Caenorhabditis elegans: one gene and its partner. The protein of the gene in region 1 purifies or fractionates together with the protein of each later gene. This does not show direct contact. Each region holds a gene or a part of one and is shown in the gene's direction. Other genes may lie near its edges.

Evidence for each region.
Region 2: the proteins of nas-32 (region 1) and F35B3.3 fractionate together in Caenorhabditis elegans (co-fractionation; one large-scale study listed by BioGRID). This does not show direct contact.

Annotation. Positions count from the first base shown.
Region 1 is NC_003283.11:892,303-903,651, reverse strand, and holds nas-32 (Zinc metalloproteinase nas-32), read left to right. Parts: upstream 1-4,464; 5' UTR 4,465-4,519; coding exon 4,520-4,588; intron 4,589-4,778; coding exon 4,779-5,036; intron 5,037-5,193; coding exon 5,194-5,417; intron 5,418-5,790; coding exon 5,791-6,016; intron 6,017-6,072; coding exon 6,073-6,156; intron 6,157-6,213; coding exon 6,214-6,416; intron 6,417-7,295; coding exon 7,296-7,420; intron 7,421-7,467; coding exon 7,468-7,700; intron 7,701-7,747; coding exon 7,748-7,872; intron 7,873-8,121; coding exon 8,122-8,240; intron 8,241-8,345; coding exon 8,346-8,538; intron 8,539-8,619; coding exon 8,620-8,722; 3' UTR 8,723-8,743; downstream 8,744-11,349. Other genes in the region: fmo-5 (Flavin-containing monooxygenase), read left to right, coding at 105-166, 894-988, 1,035-1,278, 1,786-2,100, 2,150-2,275, 2,684-3,065, 3,940-4,272; srlf-20 (SXP/RAL-2 family protein Ani s 5-like cation-binding domain-containing protein), read right to left, coding at 8,877-8,984, 9,027-9,209, 9,256-9,684; srlf-23 (SXP/RAL-2 family protein Ani s 5-like cation-binding domain-containing protein), read left to right, coding at 10,115-10,543, 10,588-10,770, 10,814-10,960. UniProt on the Caenorhabditis elegans protein: Metalloprotease.
Region 2 is NC_003284.9:17,009,867-17,021,718, forward strand, and holds F35B3.3 (USP domain-containing protein), read left to right. Parts: upstream 1-3,595; coding exon 3,596-3,645; intron 3,646-3,695; coding exon 3,696-3,807; intron 3,808-3,880; coding exon 3,881-3,933; intron 3,934-3,978; coding exon 3,979-4,093; intron 4,094-5,430; coding exon of another isoform or gene 5,431-5,532; intron 5,533-5,586; coding exon 5,587-5,691; intron 5,692-5,737; coding exon 5,738-5,901; intron 5,902-6,032; coding exon 6,033-6,135; intron 6,136-6,182; coding exon 6,183-6,293; intron 6,294-6,827; coding exon 6,828-7,085; intron 7,086-7,825; coding exon 7,826-7,948; downstream 7,949-11,852. Other genes in the region: dbd-20 (DB domain-containing protein), read right to left, coding at 9,865-10,104, 10,238-10,480, 10,666-10,866.

The DNA of each region.
Region 1 (11,349 bases):
CTCTCGTTATAGCCAGTCTACCCAAATTGATCACCCCACCGCACTATAAATACGTTGGGAAAAGACAGTTTTGTTATCAAATCGTAACGATTTTTTTTTCGACAATGGTAGCCAAAAAACAACTTCTTGTGGTCGGTGCCGGAGCCTCCGGGCTCCCGTCTATCAGGTATGTGGGTTCTCTTTTAGAAGTGCGAGGCAATACCAATTTTATACCCTAACCGTTTTTTTCTTGTGATAAAAATGAAAAATTTCTTGAAATTTTGCCTAAAAATGTGAAAATCTGAATATAAAACTTCATTTTGAAGAGAAAAATAGATAAAACACTACATTTTGAGAATGCGTATTAGACAACATAATTGACGCGCAAAATATCTCGTAGCGAAAACTACAGTAATCCTTTAAATTCCTACTGTAGCGCTTGTGTCAATTTACGGGCTCACTTTTTTACTTGTTTTAAGTTTATTTATCAATAATTTTTTTTAAATTTGAAATTACAGTGCATTTTTTCTTCACTCGTACGACCTTAAAGGAGGGCGCATTTTTTCGAAATGGTCCCGCCACGCACTCCAAAAATCAATGAATGGCGCGTGGCGAGACCCTTTCTCATAAATGCGCCCTCCTTTAAGAAACACAGTTAAATGTAATATCGCTGTCACTTTTCAAAAATCGAGCTCGTAAATCAACGTGTGCGCTTCAGTAGTCATTTAAAAAATTACTGTAGTTTTCGCTACAAGATATTTTGCGCGTCAATTATGTTGTCCAATACGCATTCTTAAAATTTTGGCGTTTCCGTAATAGTTTGCGCGTAAAATATAGTGCATTGCGGTGAGGTTCACAGCTGCAGTACACCACATTTTACGCGCAAAAAAAACTGAAACTTCTATTTTTTCCAGACATGCCCTGCTTCACCCAAACGTCGAAGTGACCTGCTTCGAAAAATCCGGAGATATCGGAGGACTGTGGAACTTTAAGCCCGATCAAACGGACCGTAAGTCAATTTTTTTTCTCAAAAATTCAAGCTCAATTTTTCTCAGTGTCAACCGTTATGAAGTCGACTGTAATCAATACGTCCAAAGAAATGACCGCATATTCGGATTTCCCGCCGGAAGACACTATGGCAAACTTCATGCATAACAGAGAAATGTGCAGATATTTGAAGAGCTACGCCGAGCATTATGGGCTTCTGAAGCATATTAAGCTCAATCATAGTGTGGTTTCGATTGAGAGAAATCATGATTACAGTACCACTGGAAAATGGAAGGTTCGGTACACTGATGAGTAAGTTTTCATAATTGTAGGTCTGTCGGCTTCAAATAGGCGGCAGGCGCAGAGGTAGGCATGATGTAGGTACAGTGTGAAGTAGGTACAAGCTTTTAACGAAATACAAAAAATTTATATGCTGCTATTTTTTTTTGACTTTTCGACTTTTGGTCCGAAAAACCAGAAAATCATTTTTTCCAACAAAAAAACCAAAAACGATAGCCGTGATGTAAGCATAAGCCTAAGCCTAAGACGGAGCCTAAGATTCAGCCTAAGCCTAAGCCTCAGTCTAAGCCTACGACTAAACCTAAAACTAAGCCAAAGTCTGAGCCTAATCCTCAGCATAACCCTAAGTCTCAGCCTATGCCTGTGCCTAAGCCTAACAAGACTAAAAAAAACTTAAAAAAAAAACCTAGCATAAGCCTAAGCCTCGTCCTCAGCCTCAGCCTAAGCCTAGGCCTAAGCCTAAGCCTAAATCCAAACCAAAGCCTAATCCAAAGCCTACACAATTTCTCCAAATTTCAGATCCGGAAAATTCCACGAAAAGATCTTCGACGGAGTTATGATCTGCTCCGGACACCACGCGATCCCACACATTCCCGAACCATGGCCAGGACAGGAAAAATTCAAAGGCCGAATTATTCATTCTCATGACTATAAGGATCATAAAGGCTATGAGGATAAGGTGATTGTTGTCGTTGGAATCGGGAATTCCGGCGGTGATTGTGCAGTCGAGCTGAGTCGTATCGGCAAACAAGTCTACCTGGTCACTCGACGCGGAAGCTGGATTTTCAGCCGACTTTCTGATCGTGGAGAACCGGTCGACCTGGTTTTTAATACGTATGTTTTTTTTTAGTTTATAAGCCACCCCTCAAATAGAAAATTTTAGAAAATTCCAAATGCAGCTAGTTGATATGATCCCCAGCTCAATTATGAACTGGAATTTCGAGAGAATTTTGAACAACAAGGTGGACCACGAGAAGTATGGATTGAAGCCGAAGCATGCGGCAATGGCGTGAGTTTTCCTTTTCCTACAAAGAAATACGGTGGTCTTGGCATCTGATAGTGTCGGAACTAGGGTTGGCAAACCGGAATATATGGAACGTGGAGTGAAAGTTCGGAAATTGGACGCCCGGGTTGCCAGATCCAGTTGGTGTTATGTATATACATATGTCTTGCTCCGTGTTAGTAGACATATTCTCCAGAGTTTACGCTGAGACATTGCTCCAATTGCGCGCCAGCGTACATTTCACTGAGCGTCGACTCAACCGACACGATACGTTGCTAATGCGCTGCCACTTTGAGCCTTGTCCACTCCTACTTCTGATTTTTCTCAGTTTTGCATTTTGTAGTTAGCCTGTACCATGAGCGCTATACAAATTTTGTGACTATATATATTCTTAACACGTGTAAAATCTTGCAGAGCTCATCTCACCCTCAACGACGAGTTGCCGAATCGAATTGCCTGTGGAACCGTTCGTGTCAAGCCAGGAATCAAGTCATTCACCGAGACAGGCGTTCAATTCGATGATGGATCTTTTGTGGAAGGAGTCGATGAAGTTATTCTTGCCACTGGATTCTCCTACCATTTTGACATGATCGAGGGCGGAAAATTGATTGAAGTCGATGAGAATAAGTCGGATATCTACAAGTATGTATTTCCTCTGGCAACTGCTGACCATAATACTTTGGCGGTGATTGGGTTGATTCAGCCTTTGGGATCGATTATGCCGATCAGTGAGATGCAGGCGAGAGTCTATATGGAGTCATTTGCAAATGGGATGAAGCTTCCGAGTAAAGATCAGGTAGGTGTGACGAGGTTGTGAACCTCAAAACCACCAAATCGGAGTTTACGCAAAAACGCAGGAAATAGGCGGTAGGCGCGAAGATAAATATGTACAGTGTTGCTTAGAAAATAACTTTAAGCCAAAAAAATTAAAAAAAAACCATAAAAATGACCGATTTTTTTTTCTCATTCCAACTAAATTTAACATTTTCAATTTTTTTTTTAATTTTTGGTCTGAAAATCCATAAAATCTTTAAAAAAAGATCGAAGTCCGGTTGCAAGCCTAAGTCTGAGCCTAAGCCTAAGCCCAAGCCTAAGTCTAAACCTAAGACTAAAACTAAGCCAAAGCCTAAACCTCAGGCTAAGCCTAATCCTAAGCCTAAATAGCGTCAGTAGCGAGCTAACGCTCGCCACTGACGCCAGGTCTACACCTGAAACTAAAACTAAGCCAAAGCCTAAACCTCAGGCTAAGCCTAAGCATAAGCCTAAACCTAAATCAAAGCTTAAGCCTAAGCATAAGCCTAAACCTAAGCCTAACTAGGGAAGGGCACTAATTTTTAAGGCCGAAAATTTCAGCTTTGGGGCAGAGTTTAGCAGATTCCAAAAAATGATTTTTGTAGCTTCACCTGTCATTTAAAGTTTGTTTTGTCTTCCTAGCAATTCCCCTATTAACAATATTCCCTAGTAAGCCTAAGCCTAAGCCCACGTAGTGCCAGGCTGTCCCATTACGGTTTGATCTACAAAAAATGCGGGAATTTTTTGCCCAAAAAAAAGTGACGTCAGCACGTTTTTAACCATGCGAAATAAGTTAAGAACTCTGCGTCTCTTCTCCAAAAGAAAAAAAAAAGTTCCTCGGTCCTAAATTTACTAGATTAATAAAAAATATTTTTCAGATGCTGACCGACATCGCCGAAAAACGAGAAATCATGAGTGCTCGCTACGTGGCAAGTCGTCGTCACACTATTCAAGTCGACTATGCCTCCTATATGCATGAACTTGGTGAAATCATCGGATGCAACCCGGACATGAGATCTCTCTGGATGTGGAAGCCCTTGACAGCCTGGAAAGTATACTTTGGCCCGTGTGTTCCATATGTGTTCAGATTGAATGGTCCGAATAAGTGGGAAGGCGCCGAGGCGGCGATCTGGGACGTGGATTATCGATCGGAGAGAGCTACGAATAGTAAAATCGCGAGGAAGAGTTTGGAGGGAAAGAAGCGACAGTGAACTATAGTATATGTTATATGTTCTAATTATTTTGTAAAAAAACCTTTATGAAAATAAAAATCAATCACAATGGCTTCTTCCATATTTTAGCCTGTTCCCGGTGGCCGAGCTACTCAACAAACCAACGTTTCCTCTTCCACGCCCGCTTTGAACTTTAAATAGGGATAAAAAGACATATGGCGGGATTAAAACATACCACGGCGTGGGGAGAGTTGGACTGTTGTGGCCAATGTCTCTCACACACTGAATGCGTCGATTTTTTATTTGTTATATCGGTTTTTTGAGTATTTTTCTAGATTTTATTTTAGCTGATAAGGTAGGTTTTTTTGGATTTTTTTAATCACTAGAGTGTATTAACTTTTTGAAAATTATTGCCCACTTCGGGTTTGGTACGTGCCCGGGAAGTTGAGAAAGCTTGGTCACCACCCAGTTAACTTATATATTGGTGGCCGAGTTTTCCAGATTTCTAGGCCAAAAAATGGAGCGTCGTAACCAAAATTTCACAGGACAACAACAGTGAAGAAGAACGAGATCGAAAATTCGACTGGAAATTCGAAAATGAGAACGGAAAGCCTGAACATGAGACAGTAACGGTACCCAAGCTGCCCGACGGGTCGTACTTTTGGAAATGGACTTGGAATTCGAGAATCAACTCCACGACGGCCGCTACTCCAACAAGTACTGTAACTACATCCACTAGTGCACCTACAACGTCTCCACGAGTTTACAAGTTAAAGTCAGAAGCTAGGAAGTCGTTGAGGAAGGTAACTTGGGATTTTTTTAAAGCCACCCAGAATTTTCTAGGCCACCCTGAAGTATCCAGGCCACCCTGAACTTTCTGAGCCATTTTGAACTTTTTAGGGCACCTTGAACATTCTAGGTCACCCTGAACGCCCACCCTGAACTTTCAACTTTTTCCAGGCCCTCCGCGGAGTCCCTCCAGAAAAACGAAAGAAGCAGCTAAAGAAAATGGGAAAGAAGATGATGAAAATTCCAAAAATTACCAAAAAGGAATCGAATAAACTTCACAAATCGTATCGAAAAGTGAAGATAACCGAGAATCCACCAGCATTGGACATGTTCGAAGTCAATGAACGGGCCGGATTGAATGAGTATTTGTTTCAAGGAGACATCAATTTGAATAAGTAAGTGCGGAATGGATAGGTACAGTAACCTTACAGTAGCCCTATTGTATCCCTACAGTAACCCTACAGTAACCATACAGTAGCCCTACAGTAACCCTACAGTAACCCTGCATCTACCATTCTATAGCACTGCAGTATTGATACAGTAAACCGAAACCAACCCTATAATATACCTACAGTAATTCATCAGTGAATAGTATTACTAGCGTCCCTACACTACAGTAATCCTATATAAAGTCTACAGTTCCCCTCCAGTCAGCACACATAAACTATACAGTAATCCTACTGTAATCGCAAAGTAAATTTACATTAAACCTACAGTAACCCTACACAAACCACACAGTACCCGCTGCTTGAATGATAACTTTTACAGCAACCAAATCGCGAAAATTTCCTCTGAACAGTCCTCAAAATCCCGACGAAAAAAGCGTCAAATCGATAACTTGGCTCAATTCTGGCCCGGAAAAGTTGTGTACTATTATTTCGATTCGGGTCTTACGACGACAGTTCAGCAAATTGTGCGTGATGCGATAACGTTCTTGGAATCGAATACATGCTTGAAATTCGAATTGAATAGCACGGCCACAAATCGAGTAAAGGTCCTCTAAACTACTTCAGCCGACATTTTTCAAACAAAAAACTTGAAAATTTTCAGATTTTCAGCGGTGTTGGATGCTACTCAGACACCGGAATGCTCGGAGGGGAGCAAACCTTATCACTGGGCTACGGGTGTGAAGTGGTAAGATAAATTTCTTATTTAAAAAAATTTTTTTTTCGTTTCACCCAAAGTTTCCAGACCGGCACGGCGGCTCACGAGATAGCCCACACTTTGGGGCTATTTCACACCCAGATGAGATCCGATCGTGATGATTATGTCACCATTGATCTTACCGATGTTCCGGAGTCTTCTCAACAAAACTTTATTAAATTGACTGAAGCGACATCGACAAACCTCGTTGATTATGAATATGGAAGCTTCATGCATTATTCGGGAAGAGCGTATGTTTTGTTCATGAAGCACATACAGTGTAACTCGACAGCACCCCTACAGTAACCCTACAGTAACCCTACAGTGCAACCCTACAGTCTAATTCTGTAGTGTAGTCCTACAGTCACCCGACTGTAACCCGATAGTGACCCTACAGTAACCCTACAATGTAACTATACATTGTAACCCTACAACACAGTGTAACCCTTCACAGTGTAACCCTACAGCAACCCTACAGTAACCCTTCAGAACAACTCTACAGCAACCCGACAATGACCCTACAGAAAACCTACAATGTAACCATAAAGTGTAACCCTACAATATAACCATACAGTGTACTGGTACAGTATCCATACAGTATCCCTACAGTAACCCTACAGTACGACGCTACAGTGGAACTTTACAGTGTAACCCTACAGCAACCCTATAGTGTAACGGTACAAACAACCCTACAGTAACCATTTAGAATAACCCTTCAGAACAACCCTACAGTAACCCGACAGTGGAGCCCCTACAGTAACCCTACAGTAACTTTACAGTATGACCCTACAGTAACCCTACAGTAAAACCCTGCAGTATCCTTGCACTGTAACCCTACAGTGTTACCCTACAGTAGGCCTACAGTATCCCTGCAACCTAGCCGTACAGTAACCCTACAGTATAACCCTACACTAATCACAATCACACAGCGATCTCACTGTAACAACAGTAACCCTACAGTATCCTCCTCAGCATAACCCCCTACTGTTAAACCCCACAGTAACCCCACGGTTACCCTACAGTAACCCTACAGTAACCATTCAGTATCCTCACAGTGTACCCTACAGTATAACTCTACAATACCACTACAGTAACCCTACCTACAGTACCCCACTGAAAGGCCTTTCCAGGTTTGTCTCATCCGGCGGAGTTGATTCCATAGTGCCCAAAGATCCGGTGATGGTATACACCATGGGCGGACGAATTGTGACTTTTCTGGACTTGAAAATGCTCAACACGCATTACTCTTGCTCTTGTGAGTTGATCTACCGAAAACTACCAAAACCAACTCTAACCCTTCAGGCCCAACAATTCTCAGCTGTGGAAATGGCGGCTTCACGAACCCTGCAAACTGTTCCGTTTGCATTTGCCCGTACGGTTTTGGTGGAGCCTTGTGCACTGAAAGAACAGATTACGGATGTGGAAGCACTTTGACTGCAACTGACACGTGGCAGCAGGAGACGTATACATTTGGGAATGCGTCAAATTCCGCCACAGCGAGACCAAGCGCAGTTTACTGTAATCATTGGATTCAGGTTTTTAGCCGGAAAAGTTATCTTGATTGAAAAAAAAAGGTTTCCAGGCGCCTGTCGGTAAGCAAATTCAATTTCGAATCGATTCCACGTACAACACCCAATGTGTCTACGGGTGCACATTTAATGGAGTTGAACCGAAGTTGAAAAGTGACATGACAATTACGCAGGCGAGGTAAGTTAGGATCATGGTAGATCATGGTAGATCATGGTAGAACATGGTAGAACATGGTGCATCATGGTAGATCATGGTAGATCATGGCAGTTTATGGTAGATCATGATATAACATGGTTGATCATGGTGGATCCTGGCTCATGGTAGATCCTTGTAGATCGAGGTAGATTCTGGATCATGGTAGATCATGGATCATGGTAGATCATGGTAGCCATATTTTTGCACGAAAGATAACCTCGAAACCTTCAGGTACTGTTGCGACGAGTTCAACGCTGAGATCATGACTGCCGACTTCGGTGTCAATCCGATGCCCGTCTTCAGCTTTAATCGGTACTACAAAACCACGTACACATGGTCATATCGATACGGTAAGCGCTAAATTAGGCCTGCCTGCCTATTTTCTCCGAAAAACCGTAGGGGTAGGCACAAGGCAGGCCGCAGTGTCACTCTATTGCTAATTCCATAAATTTCAGTGGACTCTAACGTCACCGCATGTGCTGATACATCCGACAAAGCCACGTGTCTTTCTTTGAAAAGTGCAAAAGAGCAGGGTTGCTCAATTTATGACACTGCTCAGCTGAAGGTGATGTGTGCGGCGACTATGGATTTGTGTGGGAAGGTGGCGTCAGATGATGGGACATGTAAGGACAGGTTTCCCAAGAGCCAGTGAGTTTTGGGGAGGTCATGGAAGAGGAGTGACGTCACAAGTGTCCTAGATTTTAAAATCTTCGAAATTTCACCTTCCAGATGCTCTACCTACTCCACGAACGGAATGTGCACCCAACAACCGCCACTTGCCGCCGAATTCTCATGCGCTGAAACTTGCGGTTTCTGTACTAATCCGGTTTGAAATAAAATATTTTGTGTTCGTTACTGTTCTTTTGACCAAGTTGAACTTTGATCATTTTACATTTAAAATTATTTTGCTATGCAACAAAATTGGGTAATGTTGAATGTTCGATAATTTATTTACATGAAAATATACAAAATGAGAATGCAATTAATTAGACGTTAATTGGAACTTGTGGAGTTGAGACGGGAAGTTCTGGAACACCAACACCTCCAAGGTTATTGAGAAGTTGAGTGATGATAAAGAGAATCGTATTGAATTGCTGAAAAATAAATTAATAGAGAAGAATTAAAGTATATCTTACAATTTCATTGGTTTGCTTCAATTGATTGATAGCTTGTTCTTTTTCTTCAGTAGTTTGATTACTTTCGACAATATTTCTCAGTTGTTGGAGAACATCTACAAGACTTCTAATTATTTCAGAAGCTTGCTCAAATACTGATCTAAGCAATTCAGAGACACCAGCTACAAGTTGATTGAGAGCATCCTCAAATCATAAAGAATATTAAAAGATTAATAGAATATTGACTTACTCCAAGAGATGGATTAACGGCATTAAGTTGAGAAACAACTTGTTCAATTGGTGTATTAGCAGTTATTGAAGATAGAATTTCTTGAACTTTTTGAAGATCTTGTTCGGAAATCTGGCTAACGAAATTATTCAACAGTTCAGTGATTTGAGAGTTATTTCCAAGGAGTGGTAATTGCAAATCGTTTGAAGGTAGATCAAGAATTGTCAATAATCCATTGACTGCATTTTGATTTCCACCAAGAAGTCCTCCGAGTATTCCATCATCTCCAAGGATGCCTCCAACAACTCCTACTTCAGGAACTCCACCAATTCCTGGATTTCCTAGATTTCCTCCGATTAGTCCTCCAAGTCCACCTTCTCCTAAAATCGGAATAGCAGTAGAAAGAGCAATGGAAACAAAGAAGACAAGAGCAATTTTTGACGAACACATTTTGTAAAGTTGATGTGAGTTTCCACAGTCTGTTCAACTTTTATACTGTTGCATTGCTCCGATCTCTGAAATATAAACTGGAACTGTCCAGAAACAAAAGTTGATTGTTGAGCACATGTTTGTTTTTTTAAACTATTATTCAATACTCGACAGTATATTCAAATGAAATGGTCATCGAACAGCAGACAATGCCATCATATGTTATTCCAGACAGATAGTAGTTTCAGATCATTGAAAGTTATTTGATAAAAATGTCAATTTTTGATTTAACAATGATTTGCCTAATTCGAATTTCAAAAATCATAAAAATATTTTCGCCCTTTGTCTACAGGAAAAATTGTATAAAAGTAGCGGTGAGCGTAGAGTAAAGTCATCAGTTTCACTTTCATATTCCCAGTTAAATTTTTAACTGAACAATAATTATTTCAAAATGTGCTCGTCAAAAGTTGCTCTTGTCTTCGTTGCTTCCATTGCACTGTCTACAGCTATTCCGATTCTAGGAGAAGGTGGATTAGGAGGACTTCTGGGAGGAAATCTAGGAAACCCAGGAATTGGTGGAGTTCCTGAAGTAGGAGGTGTTGGAGGCATCCTTGGAGATGATGGAATACTCGGAGGACTTCTTGGTGGAAATCAAAATGCAGTCAATGGATTATTGACAATTCTTGATCTACCTTCAAACGATTTGCAATTACCACTCCTTGGAAATAACTCTGAAATAACTACACTTTTGAATAATTTCGTTAGCCAGATTTCCGATCAAGATCTTGAAAAAGTTCAAGAAATTCTATCTTCAATAACTGCTAATACACCAATTGAACAAGTTGTTTCTCAACTTAATGCCGTAAATCCATCTCTCGGAGTAAGTCAATACTCTATTAATCTTCTTATATTCTGTGATTTTAGGATGCTCTCAATCAACTTGTAGCTGGTGTCTCTGAATTGCTTAGATCACTATTTGAACAAGCTTCTGAAATCATCAGAAGTCTTGTGGATGTTCTCCAACAACTGAGAACTATTGTCGAAAGTAATCAAACTACTGAAGAAAAAGAAGAAGCTATCAATCAATTGAAGGAAAACAATGAAATTGTAAGATATTCTTTAATGTCTCTCCTATTCATTTATTTTTCAGCAATTCAACACAATTCTCTTCATCATTACTCAACTTCTCAATAACCTTGGAGGTATTGGTGTTCCAGAGCTCCCCGTTTCAACTCCACAAGTTCCAATTAATGTTCGATTAATTGCATTCTCATTTTGTATATTTCCATGTAAATAAATTATCGAACATTCAAATTTTTAACTTCAAAACTAGTTTAAGCTAAAGTTTGTTGGAAGTGTAGTGGTAGAACGAAAACTCAATTACTGCAGTTCAATATAGTCCGCTTCTAATTTTCAATAGCATTATCTGAAATACTATTAACAATCGTAGACCAGTGCCTTATTGTAGAAAAAGATTATAATCTCATAATACAGTTTATTGAGCTGGTATTACTACCAGTCTGTTCTCCAAGATCTCCAAGTCTTCGACCACAAACAGAAGAATAAAGATCTTATTTTCCACTCTCACACAATGTGTTGTCCGTCTTGTTGCTCCCACTCACTTTGCCACATGGCAATGCCAAGAGGCACATAGCGAGGGGACCTCAAAGACTAGACAAGAGACCA
Region 2 (11,852 bases), on another chromosome or scaffold:
AAAAATTTCATTTGTGACAGACTCCTGAATCTCCAAGTCTATACTGTTTCACTAGTCCGCAGTTTTTGAAAACTGTCTCCTCTCTCCCACACCACCCACTGAAATCTACTTTTGCTGTCCCGGTAATCAGCGGAATACTAGCGATTCCGTTCTATTCACCCCCATAATAAATTTCGTGTGGATTCTGAAAATGAAATAATATTCCTTTTTTAATAATTTTCCCTATTTTGAAAATTTGAAAATTTCTTTTATATACATTTTTTATCAATGTTACTGGAACTGCAAATGTCCGAAACTTGTCCCTTCCCCTCATCCCTTTTTTCTGATTCTCTTTTTCTTTCCTGGCCCTGTGCATTATTGCAATAGGATACCGGTTGGACTAAACGACCCACCCAAATTATTAATATTTTTATTCAATAAATCATTGAAAACTTTGTGTTTTTACTATGTAGCGTGATTTAGAGTTACAGAAAATGTTGAGCTATTCTACAAAACTGTCAGTGAAGACTACACCAACACTACAATGACGTCACCGTTACAAAAGACCTCAAAGAGATGTAAACTTTAACAGTTAAGAAAATGTATGCAACAATGCATTTTTTTTTCAGAATTTCAAATTAAAATTTTACAGTTTTTACGAATTTTGAGATCAAAACTCGTAACCAATTAAAACGGTTGTAAACAAACATTAAAGAGTTCATGAAAATATATTGAAGATACAAAACTATTGTAATAAATCAGTGGCTAAAGGTAAAATCAGATGAATAATATGGCGTTTTGCCAAAACCTCGAAATTATAGATTGACTATATGCAGCCTTTTAAAATATGAAAAAATAATAAAAGAAAATAATATCGTACAAACGCGCTCTATCGAACGAATTCACTTGGCGATAATTTAAGTATGAATTAGGCAAATACTAATATTTTTCCAATTTTCAAACAATCGTATAAAATTTATAAAAGAATTTTGATTTTTTGCTATGATATTTGTTTATTGTGGTACCATGGAATATTTTTAAGCAAGTTCCAATAGTTCGTCACTCCCCCTTCAAACATCACGGCTATTCTTGTTTTTTGAGCATGGGGTGTCTAGAGGAGCTTCTCATACAGGTATGCTCTCTCGTCCAACACCATTTAGAACAGTTGTGAAACTACCATGATTTCTCCACTCATGTATTTTTTCACCAGTAACTCATTTCATTCAAAAAGAGATAGTTCGTGGTTTCATTTATTTGTTTTATCAGCAGCGATATATTTGGCTAAGTTTCATAATTGAGGAAAATATTTTTTTGTAAAAACAAAAATTCAAGAAGCGCTAGAACAACGAAAAATCCACCTATGGTCTAATAAGTTTTGTGGGATATCCTAAATCTAAAGGAGAATTTGAGAATTTAATTCAGCCATTTTTTTTAACTGTTCAATTTTGTCACATAAATGTTAACCGGGTGTGATAGCGCCGCAAATTATACCCTTCACGTGTTGCTTTTTTTTTATTTTCTCGAAATTTCTATTGACGTGAATGGTGGTCTATCGAAAAAGTTACGTAGAATGTATCTGTTGTTCAGTTTTATCCGGCGTTTAAAATTCTAGATTTTTGAAGATAATTAATGCTTCATAGTTTCCTGCTCAATTGTTGCTGTCTGGAAAAATAATTTTTTCAATAACAGAGCTAGCAGCTTTCAAAATCGTGCAAATTATTTGAACAGCTATAACTTAATTAACAAAAACTAACTCAAGCTTTCAATAAACTACTACATGTTTTTGAACCCCTAAATACTACTTCAATTGTTACCACCGAAGAGTTTAGGTAGTTCAAATCTTATACACCAATACCATACCACTGAATTGAATGTTATCTCCTATCATTTTCCGTTCATTACTGTGGATGCCCTATACATCGACATTTGAATTGGTCAATTGCACATTCAAATCAAAATCCTCGTGATAACTGCATCACTCTCACAGTCTCCTTCTACTACAACATATTTATAGGCAAATCAAAAACTTGCATTTTTTCTGCATTTTTTATACATCTTTAGTATTTTATTTACATCTATAAATTTTTTTTTTGGTTACCTGTTCAACAATATTTTGGTTACCTGTTCTACCAAAGTTTCTGGTGTAATATCATACAGGATATACACAAACTGTAAAATCGGCAAATATACGGTTTAAAAAAACCTCTATTTCAAATATTGTCTTTCAAAACTGGCGTATCAATCAGGGTTGTGCGGCAAATTTGTCGAATTTGCCGAATTTGCCGTTTGCCGAGCTCGGCAAATTTTGAGATTTGCCGCACACCCCTGGTATCAACTCAGAATTCAAATTTTCGAAAATGAGCCAAATTGTGGGATCAACTATTCCACGGAGCCCCAATACATTTTTAAGCTTGAAACTAATAAAAAACGCACGTATTAGTATAGTACGACACACGTTGAAACCGAAACATTATAGTAAAAAGTTGCACTTTCGGATTAAGACAGCCCACATGACCAAACATAGTATTGTAGTTGAAAAATAAAAATCAAATTTTGAATAAAACCCGATTCCTTCATAGAAACAAATTGACGTCTCTATTGATTCCTGCCAATAATCGATTTTATTTACAAAAACTTGTTTGATAGTATGATTCATGTTACAATTGCCTCCTGCTTTCAAACTCCAATTTCCCCTATTTTTCTCCAAGCGCTCCTCTTGAAAATAGAAAGTCCATATGCACAGTCTTCTAGATTATCGCGTGATGTGGGTGGTACATGTTTAGCTAAAAGCGTCGATTTCTTCATTCATAAGAATATCTGTGCCATATGTGATGGCAAAGATTTTTTTCTTTTCGCTATTTCTATCTCAATTTTTGAGGCGGTTTCTCTGTTATTATGTGGTATAAAAAAATCTAAAAAGTATTATGTTAGTTTTAACAAACGTTCTTAACAATATCTAATCAAATCTACTCCTTAATTTTTTGTTAATTTATGTCGAAAAAAAAGTTCAGACACATACTTTCCCACTCAGTTCTATGTAAATTGGGAATTATTGGGAACTCCCCACAAAATTCTCCAGCTGCGAGTAAGCTGTCATTAGTGACAATTGCCTTTTACCTTATTTTTTGTTGTACTCCGAATCCTCTCAATATCTTTTTTCTTCTCAACTGTTCAGCTGCGGCACCTATTGCGTCGTGACGGTTCATGTGCCAACGCATAATTGTTTACAAGTTTGGTGGCTTTGGCTCTCTACGCTCAATTTCTGTAACAGTCTCTGACTGCAGATGATTGTAAAATTGGGTGGTTGGTCTAGCAATCCGTCTAGCTTTTGAAGTAGTAGATCAGCCATATGCAGAAGTAATAGATAAACCATATGTGGAATGGCTGAAATTGGAGCTTACTTAAACTTACAGCTTTGTTATGTACAGAGCTTAAGCATGTTTCCTTTTCGGCAATTTCCTAAATAAATTCACACTACAAAATACTTTATTTTAAAATTTGTATTTTCCTGCTAGAAATTTTTCCAAATTAATTTGACTTTTTATTTGTAACTCTATTGTTTTTTTTTTTTAGAACAATTCAAACTTAATTTCAGCATTATATTACATTTTAAAATATGCCCCCGTCTGGATTCTACACCGGATATCTAGAGAAAAAACACAAATGGTAGAATTGACACCAATTTTGTTCTTTTCACATATTTTTAATTTTTACAGTAACTGGAAATGCTACCTTCCTAACAACAATTGCAAATTGAGGCAAATAAAACCAGTTCCGAATTTGACTCGTCTCTTGGAGGAGTCGAGGCTCACGAATTCATTGAGCAGGGTAGTTGTTGACAAATTTGTAAAAATGCGCATCTACAAGATCTCCAAATTTACTAACTTTTTATTGATTTCAGCTCCGTGATGTTTTCAAGAAAAAGTCGTCTCCGTGTGAAACTGATGTGAACAGGTTTTTTTTTACTTGACAGTCAACAGTACAAATACTAACTTTCAGCAATGCTGAGCACATTGGTGGCGAATCAATTTGGGGTAAAATTCAGCGTATGTCAGTTTCCAATTGCCAGAATCGAATGAAGGGCGGAAGAGACGGAACAAGAGATGTTGATAAAGTATGCTTTTTGTTAGAAATTTTGAAACTAAGGCGTATACTTTTGGTTTTATATCAGGTTGTCCCATAAGTTTTTGTACTTTTTTTCAAATATTTTTCCAAAACTTCTAGAAAGTTTTAAAATTTTTTCATCGTAGGTCGTGTCAAGGTCGGGTCGTCCCCTTTCAGAAAAGATTCATTTCATCCATTTCTACTTTGCCACGATGACAATCATCAAACTTGAACGTCGAGACGTTAGATTGCTTCTTCTTTATGAATTTCGTCTTGGTCATTCAGCAATGGAAGCGGAACGAAACATATGCGGTGCGATGGGTGAGGGAGCACTCTCTTATAATACAGCAAAGAGTTGGTTTCAAAAGTTCAAGAACGGCGACTTCAGTCTCGAAGAAATAGAACGTTCTGGGCGACCGGTAGAGTTAAATGAAGAAGACCTAGTGAAGCTGGTGGAGGAAGAGCCTCGTCTTAGTCTTCGTGAAATGGAAGAGAAGCTTGAGTGTTGTCATAGCACAATTGCACGTCACTTGGGTCGCCTTGGTTTTACTTCAAAACTTGGAATTTGGGTGCCTCATGAACTTTCGGCATCACAGAAGCTCACTCGGGTCAACGTTTGTACTCAACTTCTAACTTTTCGTCGAAAGTTCGATTGGCTGAACAATCTGGTTACTGGAGATGAGAAGTGGGTGCTCTATGTTAACCATTCCAGAAAACGTCAATGGCTTCCGATCGGTGAGAAAGGAATACCGACGCCAAAGCCTGATCTTCACCCAAAAAAGATTATGATCTGTGTCTGGTGGGGTGTTCAAGGACCCGTGCACTGGGAATTGTTGCCAACTAATAAAACTATCACTGCTGATTACTATTGTGCCCAATTGGACCGAGTTGCAGAAAAGACCAACGGAAAATATGAAAAACTATATTTTCTTCACGATAATGCTAGGCCTCATGTCGCCAAGAAGACTTTCCAAAAGCTGCATGATCTTGGTTGGACTGTTTTACCGCATCCACCATATTCTCCAGATCTTGCACCAACCGACTACCATTTGTTCTTGTCTCTCAGTGACTACATGCGCGACAAGCAATTCGACGACGAAGAGCATCTCAAAACTGAACTCTCCACTTTCTTCTCATCGCGTTCGCCGGATTTCTTCTCCCGTGGCATCATGATGTTACCTAGTAAATGGCAACAAGTGGTGGACACTAATGGTGAATACTTGTGTGAATAGTACTACTTGTCGCTTGAGAGAAATAAATTTTTTTCAAAAAAAAAATAGTACAAAAACTTATGGGACAACCTGATAGAACCTCAAAGCCAAACGAGCAGATCCAACAAATATCACTATGGAATATGTGATCTCTGTAAATAAAGGCCGTTTCGAAGATATTTTCAATAATCCTAAAGTCATTGCACTATTCGAAAACAAACCGATATTAAAGCCAGCTGTAAGATTTTTCATTTTGTAAAAACAAACTTCTCAGCGAAAACCTGTTTTTCAGCCAATCTATAACTCTTGCCTCGAATGCTTTGCCATTTCAGTTTGCCAGGCTCTTCTTGCCTGCCCTCCATTTGTGAGATATGTCAAGGAGAAAATTGCAGAAACCGTATGACAAATGCAATTTTTTAAACTGGTAAAAAATAACATTTCAGAAATTGGACATGCATATGAAGTCGCTAGTTGCACAATTTGCTGCTCATTCTATTCCAGCTGCCGGTTCAGGAGACTGGCCTCGTGTTTCAATTTCAAAGCTGCTTAATAGTATTCCAGGAGGATTTAATGGAAAGTGCCGTGAAGATGCTGAAGACTGGTATAGGTATAATGCACCTTAAAAAATGCTCTTTTAGGGGGTTTCAGGGTTTCGGCAGGCGCCCGGACCTGAATTCGCGTCTGCCTACTTTGGAACTCCAAACTGTTCTTTGAAGTAATTCCAAAATCGTTTTCCAGACAACTTTCCAAAGAGTTTTACGACGAGACATTTGGACAAGTTTCCGCTTATTACAAAACCGTCTGCCACGAGTGTGGCAAATGCAGAGAAATAAATGATAAAGTAAGCCGCTTTTCATTGATTTGCAAACATGTACTAATTGATTTCAGAGTCCTAGAGTTCAACTGAGATGCCCAGATCTTGAGATTACAGCTGCGAACATTGAGTCCATGCTGGCGGTAACTGGAAATGAAATCGTTACGTGGGAGCATGACGGATGTGTAAGTGGAACACGTAACTGAATAATCAGTAATTTAAAAGCAAGTTTATTTAGATTTTAGTGCTGAAAGATCTTGTATTTTTGTTAATTCTGATAACGCCCCATTAACTTCTCAAAAACGTTGAGTCAACCTGAATTAAGCAATGTGTTTTGAGAAACTGAGAACTTTTGATTCTAGATCAAAATATTCGGTAATGCTGTAGCAGCTTGGCAATAAACTAACCTTCTAACGAAGCATAGTTCGAAATATTTATCGTTTACGGTGTGAATAACTTAACGGCATACTCACATTAAACGCTCAGACGTCAAATCTAGAGCCCAATCCATTCACTGCCACACATTTTTCCAAATGGTGGTTTGGAAGCTGGAAAATTTATTTTATCAAGACTCCAAACTTGTTGCCCTACAGTCCTGGACTTCAAAGAAATTCAGGATTCACTTGTCTAATATCTTCTAAAAAATTGCTCTAATTTGTAACCGAACTAGCAGATTTAATCATAATATTTTTTTTTAATATAGTTGCCAAATATTCCAGGAAAACACGACATGTAGAGAAACCACTAGATACGAATTTCCTGATGTCATCCTCGTCTCCGTGGACACTTTCCAAGATGGCAATAGACATATCGGAAAGGAGCTGGAGTTCTTTCCAACTGAAGATTTTTCACCAATTTCGGTAAACAACGACGAGCCTGACATATTTCACCTTGGTGGTGTCATCTACTTCAGAACGTTCAATTGTTTTCGCGATGAGAGCAGCGGTCACTATATGGCACGTGTTTATCATCACGGGGTGAGTGGAACCTGAAGTGAATAATGGCATTTTTCTCAACTTGAAAATGCTGAAAATTCCGTTTGCTGAAAAAAATTTCAAATGCCAAACATTGTCTAGGTTGGCAAGTTTTCAAATTTGTACATAAAAACTACAAAACGGTATACTCTGGTGACTTCCAAAAAAGTTACATAAAATATTCACTCGCCACGAAAAAATTCGCAACATACGCTTCAATTCTTTGGAATTCACACAAAATTTCCAAATTTTAAAAACTTGATAACTGGCAAAAAAAAAGTTCTAATGTGTAATTGTGTTATGAAAATCGAAATTTTGTAAAATATAACCATCTGTTTCTAAATTATTTTCTCAATTTCTTACAGTGAGGGTAATCTCGAATTTCAGAACGTGAAGGGATAGTGTATGTACAGTGAGTTTGAAATCTGCCAATCACTTGTGCTTTCAAAAAAAAGTCGATTTAAAAAAACCTTTAGTTTTGATAAAAGTTTTATCAATTTTCATGGGAACTTTTAGTTTGGCTCACAAATTTCAGAACTAAAAAATTTGTCCAAACTCACTCACATTAGCAATTCAAGAGTTAACATATTTTTCTAAATTTTCACATTTTCTGTTAAAAAAAGCATGGACGTGGAAAGTTTGCTTCGTTTGTTTTTTTTTGGGTTATGGGTTTTGATCCAGTGTGCTTTTGCTTTCGATTAAGACTTGTAAGCTGCCTAACTAAATTTTACTTTTTTTTGCAGAATGTGTTTCTGGCGGATGACAACAGAATTTACGAGCAGAACATCAACAGACCAACGGAACCAGCCAACTCGGTTCCATATTTTGCGTTCTACTACAGACAGCGTCGTGCTGGGCGTTTCTAATGAGTTGGTAGTAATGTCAAATGATCGGAAAACATAATCAAGTTTTCTGTTCAATCAAATTTTCTGTTTCAAGAATTATTTTGTGACACTTCTTTCAAATACCGTATATCTCTGTAAGTTTTTTATTGTCCAAATTCTGTTAGTGATCTATTTTGTTACAGTTTTAATTTTATTAGGAACTGGTTCAAATTCTCCTCGGTTCAAATTGATTCTCCTCTCATCCCACCTTAAATTTTTACATCCTACTAATAAGTTTTGATCTTCATAATGTTCCAGTGCTGATTTACTCAAATTGTTTTACACTTTTTGGAAACCTATGACATCATAATAATTGGAAATACTTGAAACTTACAAGTTTTCTCTTACATTTTTATTTGATTTCTTGAATTTTCCATTATTTTTTTTATTAATGACAACTTTGTAATGATAATTTGCTTTACTAACTTCCGTCAATTCTCACCAAAAACACTTTGGCCCCAGTGAGTTGTATCATACTTTTACTTCTGAATAAATTTTGAACATATCACCCAAAAAGTATCTAGGTAACTTTCTGAGCCCACACTCCCAGGGGGCATCACTCAAAGGTGGTATTAGAGGTCATTGCTTTTAGGGGGCATTCTCAAAAATCTTTAAAATCTTCATTGTAAAAATCTCAAAAGGCATTTTTTTAATGCAAACTGATTGAAAGTAAAAATTTTGATGGAATTGTACAGAAAAGAGTTCCAAAACTCTTCTCCTTTCCTCAGTCACCGCGTTGGGGGGTTTTTCAAAGGTACCTCAAACTTGGGTTATTAAACCATTTCATATAAAGATAAATAAAGATCAATAAAAGATACAAGAGCAAAAGTATGGTAAAAATAATGAAAAGAAAATGAAAAGGAAATTGTGTGATTGGGTCGGTTTTTTCCCGCTTTTTATACTATTTCAAAGCGGGGGATTGGAATTTGTCTATCAAGCTAAAGTGGAGGGGGCGAATGGTTGGGATGAAAACAAAACATAATGATGGGATGGAATCATGTAAGAACAAAGTTCAACGGAGTTGACAGGAATTACAATTTTTTCAGCCCCGTAAACTTTTCTCACGTCCAATCAATAGTGGCATGAGGTAGCCCGACTATCGTCATAAAGATTGAAGAGGTACCAACTATGCTGATTGGTAGTTGGTTCATCAGCCAAGTTGGTTGATGTAACGGCATGAGGCTGAATGAATTTAAAAGTACGCTAGGGGGTTTCGCAAAGATCACTATGGGGATAAAACTATTTGCTCTTAGGGGTAATTCTCAAAATTCACAAATAAGCATTTTAAAAATCTCACAGAGGGCAAATTGTTCAAATGTGTACTGAATAAAAATACGGCTTTTAGTGAAACTACAATTGTTTCAGCCTCATAAATTTCTTTCACGTTCTGACCAACGTCATAAAGATTGAAAAGGTACCAACTATGCTGGTTGGTACTTGGTAGTATCAACTTGGTACATCAGCATAGTTGGTACATACAATTTCTATGTCACAACATCTAAACAGTTTTTCCCCATAGAGAGCCTGTGAGCCTGTAGTGAGAGGTGAGCCTGTAGAGATACACAGACAACATAACCCTCTGAAATTTTTTAAATGACCTTTTGAGAATTTTCAGAATGCCCCCTAAGAGCAATGACCCCCCAATTTTTTCTTTGAATAATGCCTCTTTAAAGTGAATGTCCCTAATTTTTTGCCCCTGGGAGCGTAGGCCAACTTTCTGAAAACCAGTTGGTGCAATAATAGCTAGACCTATAGAAATGGCATATAAAAAAACTTATCGTATCAACGGTAAAAATTTATCGAAAATTTACTGAATTGAAAACAAATATTAAATACTGTGACGAGCGGCAATTTTTACAATCAAGTGTTCAGTGCATAGAGGTATTAAAACTTATAAGTTATTGACCGAAAGTTCTTGCTTGGAAGGTTCGGGATGAGGTAAGTGCGAAGTGTCTGTTTGGTCCTTGCTCAGAGAATTCGGACTCTGAATCGATGTTAGATGAGAACTCTGGGGTGGATTGCTCGTTGAGCTTCTGCCAAAAGCAGGCCTTCATGTTCTCAAAACGATCGTAACAAGCCAAGTAGGAGAGGTCAAGTTGTGTGACGTTTCCTGGACGCTGGTCGCAGAAAGTGAAGCACTAAAATTTTCAAATTAATCGGTTGGAATATACTTTGAATTTACAGATTCGTCAAAGAAAAGACGTTTTCAAACGTTCGTTTTGGGGGTTATTTGAACGTTACGATACTAGTTTTATAGTCCATCACACCTACTTTGTTTCCGGCCAATGTGGTTCCAACCGAGTTTCTATAGCAGCAGTCAGTGTGATCTTGCCCTTGAGCAGCACAGTATTGAATATCTGCTGCTGCTTGCATTGGGCAGTAGTCTTGCTTGAAGTACATGGCTTGGAGAGCTGTCTTGGTGTATGTGCGGAAGGAACACTTGGAAAGACAGGCATCTGGAAGATTTCTCTCCTGGCAGCATCTCATAAACTTCTCGTCTGGTGACATTGTTTTCTGGAATTTGGGAGTTTCAGAACTTCCTTAAAATGACGTGATGTTAGGATTATTTTTTAAAGTATTGAGCAAAAGCTTTTAAAATATATTATAGAAAAATATTGAAAATAAAAAATTATATGAGGAAGGCATTTTATCAAAGTCTAATAGGAAACCTCAATTTTCTAATGATCGAAATTTCTCACCTCACTCTTGATTGAAAGAGTTTTGGATCCTCTCGCCTTTGCACAGCCATATCTTCCACAGGAGTAACCTCCTCCGCAACCTCCCGAGCACACTGGAGGTGGTGGCGGAGCACACCCACCACCACAAATTCCAGATGCAAAGCATGCATCTGTTACAGCCAAAATTGCAAGAAAACCAAGAACGGCAAAAAGAGTCTGCATACTTTTTTGGAATGCTAAGAACTGAGCGATTTGAATTTTGTCAGTCGTTCGTAGTACTTTTTATAATGCTTTCACAAAGAAGACCTGTTGATGAGTCAAGGCATCAAGTGGTTAGAGGGGGAAAAGTCGCTGCGTGTTACGTAAGAATAATAGACATTCAAACAGTAAGCTGCTTTACACCGCCATCACTGGTGGTTCTTTGAAGAAAGTGAAGACAAAGTAAGAAGTAGACAATCGGTTGTGTCACCATTTTCTACCCAACTTTGAAGACAAAACACTTTTTACGCGCAATTATTTTCAGATTCGAACAATGCCATGATCTTCTTGATCATCTAGAATCGAACCCCAAGAATGCAAAAAAAATTGAAAGATGGAGATTACATATTTTTTCGCAATTTAAAATGACAAGTATGTAGCTTAACATTTTTTCGAATTTAAAGAGAACAAAGTACAAATTTTCGTGATGTGTTTTCTGTATTAGTACGCAATTTTCAATGGTTTACCTATTATATTTTGATAATGAGATTATCATTATCATTATTGCTTTCAAAAAAAATTACAAACTAAATATGTTTAAAGCACATGTACTTTCATGACAGTGTGTAGTTAAATTTTTAGGGTGGACAGTAATAGTTTAGCAATTGCGAATTTTAAACCTCTAGAAACAGGAAACTGAATCTTGAAATTATGATTAAGAAAAATGAATTATAATTTTTACCTCACAAGCACTCACTAATAGTAAGACAAATTAGTTTCTCTGCTTTTTCAAAGACTTGGCAAAGACCAGACATTGTTTTTCAAAAATTTTGAAATTTGCGCCCACTCCTGAGTGTTACTAAAAAATACAGATGTAACATTTTTCCTGTAAAATAATACACATTTATTGTAGAAATTACCTTGAAATGTTCAAATTATTTTTGTGATTCAACACTTCCAGAAACTAGTAGAGATTTCAATATTAGTAGATCCTTTCTTGGAACATTTTG